Linked DNA regions of Callithrix jacchus. The protein of the gene in region 1 interacts with the protein of each later gene in a pairwise test. Links are inferred from orthologs where the notes say so. Each region holds a gene or a part of one and is shown on either strand. Other genes may lie near its edges.

Region 1 (4,466 bases):
CCAAATTTGAGAGTGGGAAGGATTCTTGAGCTGATATCTGAATGCTGTCAGCTTGAAAGGCATTCCAGGAAAAAATCACATGAAAAAGGCATGAAAAGATAAATGAACAAGCTTCAGGTAGTTGGAGATGACTGGCTAAATACATGTTTTCAGTGAGGCAGAAGTAAAGGCTGGAGAAATACAAAAGCGAAACGTCTTACATGCAAAGATATTTGGGTTTTATTCCAAAACTGACAGCCTCTGAAAGGTTATGGCATGATTGAATTTGTTTTTACTGGAAAAACTTCTCCTTTAGGTTAGAATGTTTAACACCGAATAAAAAAGTTGAGGACAGAATCCTCAGGAATACCATTCCTTGAGGACAAGGAAGAACAACAAAGAAATGGGATTAAGAATAGACAGGATGGCTAAATAAAAGTAGTCACAGAAGCTGGGAAGAAAAGGGAATTTCAGAAAGTGTTTGGTTTCTAAATAAAGATGGAACTACCCATAAAAACTATGTGTATTTAATCAGGATAGTATATGCCAAAACAAAAAAGACAGTGCCTTTGGTATTGGTGTATTATTACCCTACACATTTATACTGTGAAATGCGCAATCACCAGATATTTATTAGCCATCTATTATGTGTCAGGTACTCTGCTAGATACTGAATATACATGTATACCTCCCAGAGCTTCATCTTATGAAAATATATCAAGCAAATAAAACATTGTGCTTCAACAAGTAAAGAACGAGATGCTAACTTTATTTATTTATTTATTTACTTCTTCAGGTGGGGTCTTGCTCTGTCATCCTGGCTAGAATGCAGTGGAGCAATCAGGGCTAACTGTAGCTTAAACCTCCTGGGCTCAAGCAATCCTCCCACCTCAGCCTCTCTAGTGGCTGGGACTACAGGCGTGCAACACCACACCTGGCTAATTTTTTACATTTTTTTGTGGAGATAAGGTCTCAATTACACTGGCCAGGCTGGTCTCAAACTCCTGTGCTCAAGTGATCCTCCTGCCTCAGTGCCCCCAAAGTGCTGGAATTATAGGTGTGAGTCACCCCAAGATGCTAACTTTAAATCACTTGTTGCTCAAGTCCAATACCCCTGTGATTCTGCAGAAAAAATGTAAAACAGCTACAGGCAGTTTGCTATCAAATGTTGTATTATTGTAGGAGAAAATATTTTGAGAAGTCAGCTTTTTCACTGGTTTCTTAATTCGTTTATATATTTGATTTGGTCAGATATTTTATCCTTTCCAGGGTTTCTTCACTATACCATTCTAGCCCAGCCTCTTAGGCATGGATAACTTCCACAGCATTCTACTGGATCTTGCTGCCTTAGACTCACCCATTTTCCAGTTCTGCATATCAAGGATTTCCTCAAGCACGAAACTCCTCCAACAAAACTGCTATAAAATCTTTGTTGGTTCATCAATGTCTGAAGCCTAAAGTTCAGAGTCCTTAGCCTGGACCTAAAGAACCTGCATAACAGGTTCCAACTCCCCTACATACAAGTCGTCATGGTGGACGAGGAAAAGAATCTGGACTTTAGCGTAGACTGTCACTAACCTACTTTGTGACTGCCAGCAAAGCACCAACCTCTCTGGCCTTGTTTACTCATCTGCACCAAGGAGCTGAACCCCAGGACTACAAATGCGCCTTGACTTATGATGGGGTTACTTCCCAATGAACCATATTTAATTGAAAATGTCAAAAGTCAAAAATATATTTAACACACCGAACCTACTAAACATCAGGTCTTAGTCTAGCCTACCTTAAACGTGCTCAGAACACTTACACTAGCCTACAGTTGGGCAAAATCATCTAACACAAAGCCTACTTTATTAAAAAATATTGAATTCCTTGTCATTTATTGAATACTGCACTGAAAGTGAGAAACAGAATGGCTGTGTGGGTACTCAAGTGTGGCATCTACTGACTATGTATGGATTTCACACCATCATAAAGTCAGAAAACTGTTGAATCACCACAGGTTGGGGACCTTTGGTAGAGCTGTGTGATTGTTCTTTCCAAACGTGGCTTCTATTACTTCCCTATACCAACCTTCTCCTACTTCTGGGCTGTTTTATCGTAAAGTGACAGAAGGTTTCAATGCACAAGGAAAAAGTGAATTCTGACTTCTAGATTCTGTTATCATTATTTTTTCCAATTTCCTTCTGTAAAATATCAGGATTAGAACTTAATGTTTCTAATAAAGAAAGCAGCCGAGAAAGGCAAATCTACAAAAACCTAACTACTAGTTACATTTGGGAGTGTCCATAAAACGTTTTTTTAACAATGATTAGCAGTATTTACCAACAGAAGCTTTCTAGATTTGGATGGATGGCCTACCAACAGTATCTGTACCAGAGTCTGTGGCAATGGTGACTCAGGATTCTTCTCAAATATCACAACTTTTAAGTTAAAAAGAAAGAGAAAGAGAAAGTGGTAGAGAGGAGAGGGCGGGAAGAAGAGAGGGAGTGAAGATAGACGGAGGGAGGAGATGTACTAACAATACTGACAAACGGGGAATAGCAACCGTCTGACTTTATCGCCTTCTAACACCTAGCACACAACAAGCTCTCAAAAACGTTTGTAGAGCAAAGCTGCGTTACACAAATGCGACCTATAGTTGTGGGGTGGTTACCAGACAGTTACAAGGGCGGGGACTGGGGGAGATGAGGAGTCTGAGCACTCTGGGCTCCCAGAGGTTACCCTTCAAGGAAAGGGTCGGCGGCGCCACCCTAGAGGACGCTGCACTTTCGGGTTTGTAGTTTCCACGTCTGCACCAAGTAAGGGGAGGAGGTCTGGGCCTGCTAGGGGATAAGGGGTGGAAGGGAGCAAACCGAGCTAAGAGGAGCAGGACGAAGCCGAACCGCTGCTCGTGGGACCAGTGCCGGAGCCGGGACCCGGCGACAGCCACGACCCACCCAAACCCCGTGACTCGACAGATTATGGCTCCCGAGGCCGGCCTCATCCCCAGGTTGCCGCCGCCACCCGGGGACGGGCTGGGAGGCGACTGCTTGTTTCTGCCGAGCCACGATCCCGAGCCCGCGTGGAACTCTGGCCGCCCGAGTACTCACTCACCATCTTCAGCAGCTCTGCTAAAAGCCTCTGTGCCCCGTTACCGTCAGTCGACCCCGCCGCTCACTTCCGTTTCCAGGGACTGCCCCCCCACATCCGCCGGAAGTGCGTCCGTCCGGGCGAGGAAGGAAGGAGGGCGCGGGACGCCGGAGGGAGCTGCCCCAGGTCGAAGCTCCCACGCTTGCAATCCCGAGGGACCGCGGGCCAAGGGCGCAGTAAGGGTGTGGGCTGCGGGGAGAGCGGGGTCGGGACAAGACGTGCCTGAGGGGAGGGAAGACACGGACTCCGGTTTATTAATAAACATCTACAGTTTGTACGGCATTTTAAGATGTGCAACGTGCTTCTTTTGGTACATCGCTTTATTTAACACAAAACCTCTCGGAGGTAGCTATTATATCTCACAGAAGGATAAACGAGGCCTAGGGGATTTGAGTGATTTGCTTGAGATCGTTCGGCTAATAAAGTAAAAGTGGGACACAAGGCTTTTGTCGTTTTTTAAAAAACATAATATCGAAGGCCTGCTATGTTCACAACTCTGTGCTTAGGCTAGGAATACAAAAAAGGACCAGGCTGGCATGGCCTCTGGGCTAGAGGAGCAGGGGTACTCCGGGGGCTGGAGGGGGAGGGAACGAAGGATAGTGACTACGAATTGAGTAAATATGATCATGACCGACGTATGCTGGGCTCTTTGAACTGCGTATCAGCACAGTTCTAAGTGCTTACATGCTTTATCTCCTTTAATCTTTTCAATAACCTTACGAATACAATTCACAGGTGAAGAAACCAAGACATGAAGGGGTTCAATATGCCTAAGGACCCAGCCTGAGTCTAGAATCTATGGTCATAACACTATACTGTATTGTTGTCCAAATATAATGTAGTAAAACGGCTTTATGGTCTGCTACCACAGGATGGAGACATCTTAAGGAATCTTCGGTCTGATAGCCAAAGGATAAGAGCAAACTAGTTTGGGCTAGTAAGGTATTTAATAACATGATGGGCAGATCTGCTTGTGCAAAAACGGAATTGGAAAGAATATCTAAGTCAGCCTAAGTTCAGAAAGTGCAGAGTACTGTGAGATGAGGTTGTAAGTAGATGGAGGCAAGTGGTTTTTGCTGTCGTTTTTGTTTGTTTTAAATAATGATGGGATTAGCTATGTTGCCCAAGCAATTCTGCTGCAGCCTCCAGAGTAGTTGGAACTACAGGCATGTATCATGGAACCTAGCTACAGGTTTTTTTATGCAGCCTTTGTAGGCAAGATTAAGGATGAGGCTTTGTCTATAAAAAGCCGTCCAAGGATTTGAGAGAGGGAAACGGTAAGGCCATATATCCACTGCCATGGTCATACAGCTTCGAAGTTCCAGATGGTAAGTTTTCTGCCCTGCTGTCCTTTA
Region 2 (3,811 bases), on another chromosome or scaffold:
AACCCCCAGCTGGAGTGACCATCAGAGAAACTGGCAAACAGCATCCTCCTAAATCTGCTCAGGTCTTAAGGCTCTTTGATGATGGGGAGTGAATGACACAGCCTTGAGTCAGGGACTAGTTGAGGAACCCCCGGCCCCAGGAAGGTCACTTGCAAGTTGGTGTGGTGCTGTGGCCTTCTGGCTCTGGGACCTGGGGGCTTGTCGTCCTATTTTTTGTTCACCAGCTGTTTGACCTTGTGTAAGTCACTGACTCAGCCAGAGTTTCTGACGATACCAACATCAAAAGATGGGTGGGGGCAGGGATACACATGATGATCAGCAAAGTGCCCAGCTCAGTGCTTGGCACATAAGAGTGCTGACAGATGTTGATTGATTGATTTAGTGGGCATATAGGTGCTCCGTAAATGTAAGTTTCATTCCATCTCCTAACATCTTCAGCCATATGAATATGAGACACGGATGGGATTGGAGGGGGGAAAGTGAGAGACTTGAGATTGTCTTCCTTTAGGAATGATCTTCCTTAGAATTGGTGGGGAGGAAAGGAATTTAAAAGATTTATTTCCCTAATTAAAAAAAAAGCCTTTATTTATACTTAAATAACAGCATACATGATAATTTTATGAGTAAATGAAACTATATAATTTTAAAATTTGCATATTTTAAAGCTTTATCAGTTACTTACAGACTGTTTGCAAAGTAGAGGGAAGATCACTCGTAATCTTACATGGCACTGTCAGCAGTCTGGTATCCTGTGCCCAGTCGAATCAGTTGACATTAGCTATGCATGTCTCATGTCATTTGTGTATTTCTGCTTCCCCCAAGTCTTCACCCTTCCCCTTCTACCCAGATCATTTGGAAAATGTAAATGTGCAGTCCTAAGTGCTGCCTGCAGGATTGTGATGTCCGCCAGGTACTGTTGGCCGGCTCTAGACCCCAGCAGCAGTGATGAGATGAAAACAAAGCAGGGGAAATAGTCAAGTGGTAGAGAAGAGAAGAGGGGAGCAGAAGTGGGAGGCCAGGAACAGGGGACCAGTATGGTGTTCCCAGCACGTGCCCATGTGCGCACACACCTAAGGCCATTTAATAAAGGAAGCAGTTTGGAATGAGGTTGCAATTTGCTGAATTAGTGGTTGGCTTTTGCTGTCTAGATAGCAGCTGCCGCCAGCTCCTCATCTAAGAGGCTTCCTTTGCTACCACCTTCACTGGTTTCCGGAAGCCTTCTGGTCCCATAGACTGTTGAGAATTCCTAATTAGCAGATCCTGTTTGAATGTATTCTTACAGGTCTGCATATGTACACATTGGCCTCATTGGCCCCACACAGGTGTCACACGGAAGTGAAAAAGCCTGGGGAATAAATATCAAAGGAACCCCTAGCTGCTGGTTTGCTGAGGAGTTCACTTCCAGCGGAACCTTCTCTGTCCTTCTCTGAGTCTGTAGAGGGCGCTTATGTCACTGGAATACTAGTCTGTTGTGGGGCAGGCAGAGAAGGGCAGGAGTCCCGAGTGGGTTCAGATCTTCTCAAAACTTGAGATTAGCGGATCTGCCCTTTGAGGGTCTTGGGCTGGAATTTGGGCCTGGATCAGGGTTTCTACAAGCTTAGATGAGCGCTGTAGTGCACCTTGCATGTTTGTGTACTGTCATGCCCTCGTGGACTGGGAGGGAGCCGTAGTACATGTTAGATTCCCTGCTTTCAGGGAGCCTGCTTCATTTTTGTCCTCGTTGTGCACAGAGCTTGAACTTGGTGTTCCCCAAGTCCGGTGCCATTGCCTTCGCTGCCTGCCTTCTGTTTCACTGCTGTTTCCTGAGTGCCTCATGTGCAGCCTGCCCTTCAGCCTTCCCTGAAGCTCTGCTGACCAGCTTGTTCCCAGCTCCTCCTCACATGCTCTTAGCCAGCCTCACCCTGCATTGCACTTGCTTGGGTCAGATGCCCCTGCTGGACTCTGAGCCCCTAGAGGGCAGGGATTTGGGGGTCTCATCCACCTCTGTAGCCCTAGCTCCTAGTATAGGACCTAGCATGTGATAAGCCTTCTTGGATAAGAAAGGGATGAATCCATCTGTTCACCAGTAACTGTTAGGGGTGGGGATTTGTGCTTAAAGGCAGAGCAAAGGAGAAAGTGTTTCAAAGTAATGAATTACTTCAGTAGACTTGTAGAGGCCCCCTTAGGAGAGACAGATTCTTTTGGGCAAGAGGTCCCGCCTTTGGTCTGCCAGCATTTCACCAGATCTGCTGTTGTGTTTTGGTGTTAGTCCCCGCCCCCCACAAAATAATGCTGACTTTCCCCATTGTGTTACCAGGAAGTAACTTCCAGCTGTTGTGGATGTTCTTGATCAGGGCTTAGTTAGTAAATTGCAGTCTGCTGCCTGTTGCTCATAGTGTCAGATTGGATCACAGTTGCACCCCTTTGTTGATGTATTTGTGTGTGGCTGTTTTGTGCTAGCATGGCAGAGTTGAGTGGGTGTGGTAGAGACTATGCCTACAAAGCCTAAAATATTTACTCCCTGGCCCTTTACAAGATCAGTTCCTAGCCCTCAGTTCTGCTGTGTGGTGACTGTCCGATGTGGTGGAGACGCAGTGCGTACATAACGAGTTTTAAGGCCCGGGCCAGGAACTTCGGGCACATCATCGAGGTACTTTGAGATCTTTTACTCATCTGTGAAATGGGCATTAAAAGCAACACCTACCTCTCAGGAGGTCTCGCCCGCTGCTAGTAGAAGCATGTTGTGGATGTCAGAGCAGGCCCTGGTTCAGCTATGGACGTCATTGCTGCCGTTCTGTTTTCTCAGGAGGAGGAAGCCAAGAAACTGGTGAGCGAAGCCATTGCTGCTGGCATCTTCAATGACCTGGGCTCTGGAAGCAACATTGATCTCTGTGTCATCAGCAAGAGCAAGCTGGATTTTCTCCGCCCATACACAGTGCCCAACAAGAAGGGGACCAGGTGAGTGAAGGAGACAAAGTTCTTTCTGGGTCCCCTGGCTTCGTGGCCACCCTTGGTATCTCCATGGCATCTGGATGGAGTTTTCTTGGTTCTTCCCATGTTAAGTACATCCAGTGTTCCCAAATCAGCCTCCCACAGAGAACTTTGGCTCATTACTTGCTTTATGACAGTGGGGTGCTGTCAGGTGTAGGAGAGTGATTTAATTTGATGGGAGGGGTGGAGGGTGGCCCAGGAAAGAGCCCTAGGCTGGGAAGTGCAATAGAGAGGTTTGGATCATCTGCTGCCCTTTCTCACGTGTCTTAAGAATCCCCTGAATTCTGTGAGAAGGTACATTTTTCACAGCAGCCTCAGCACTTTCCCTCAGAGTGCTCCGAGATTCCTAACTGGGTGTAAGCAGTGCTAACAGACTCCCAGTGGTGGCCTGGAGCTAATGTGTGTCTGCTGTGCTACTGGGAGTTGTGCCATTTAGCCTGTGCTACATGCTGAGTGGGCCCCTTGGATCAGTGGTACAGCTCAGACTCACTGGTGGGAGAGGTTCTAGTTGATCTGCTGAACAGAGCTGGAAGTTTTCCAAACCTGGTGGCTGTCATGTGTCAGAGGAGCAGCTCGTTTGCAGTGTTTCATGATCATCCAGCTGCTTGACCGTCCTATGGCTCCTACCTCTTCTGGGACCCCAAGCAGCTCAGGATGAGCTCCCTGAGCGCTGCTTCCGGCTGTACCCATCTGAGTGCAGCACAGGGTATTTATATACTACTGCTCCCACCCAGCCCCATGGCTAGCCCAGAGGATAGTGAGCATCACCTTCTGCAGGCTTGCTTTCATCTCCCACTGCACACTCAACTCCAAATCAGGAGTAATTCACAAGGAAAGAACA

What was found.
Region 2: the proteins of POMP (region 1) and PSMB7 interact in binary tests that used the Homo sapiens proteins (3 or more experiments, as listed by UniProt). The link is inferred for Callithrix jacchus from reciprocal best matches to the Homo sapiens genes POMP and PSMB7.

The regions. Positions count from the first base shown.
Region 1 is NC_133506.1:147,825,412-147,829,877, reverse strand, and holds the start of POMP (proteasome maturation protein), read right to left. Parts: upstream 3,079-4,466; coding exon 3,076-3,078; coding exon of another isoform or gene 2,943-3,075; exon of another isoform or gene 2,695-2,942; intron 1-2,694. Other genes in the region: uncharacterized protein LOC128932219, read left to right, coding at 2,943-3,293. UniProt on the Homo sapiens protein: Molecular chaperone essential for the assembly of standard proteasomes and immunoproteasomes. Degraded after completion of proteasome maturation. Mediates the association of 20S preproteasome with the endoplasmic reticulum.
Region 2 is NC_133502.1:172,977,979-172,981,789, reverse strand, and holds part of PSMB7 (proteasome subunit beta type-7), read left to right. Parts: intron 1-2,785; coding exon 2,786-2,937; intron 2,938-3,811. UniProt on the Homo sapiens protein: Component of the 20S core proteasome complex involved in the proteolytic degradation of most intracellular proteins. This complex plays numerous essential roles within the cell by associating with different regulatory particles.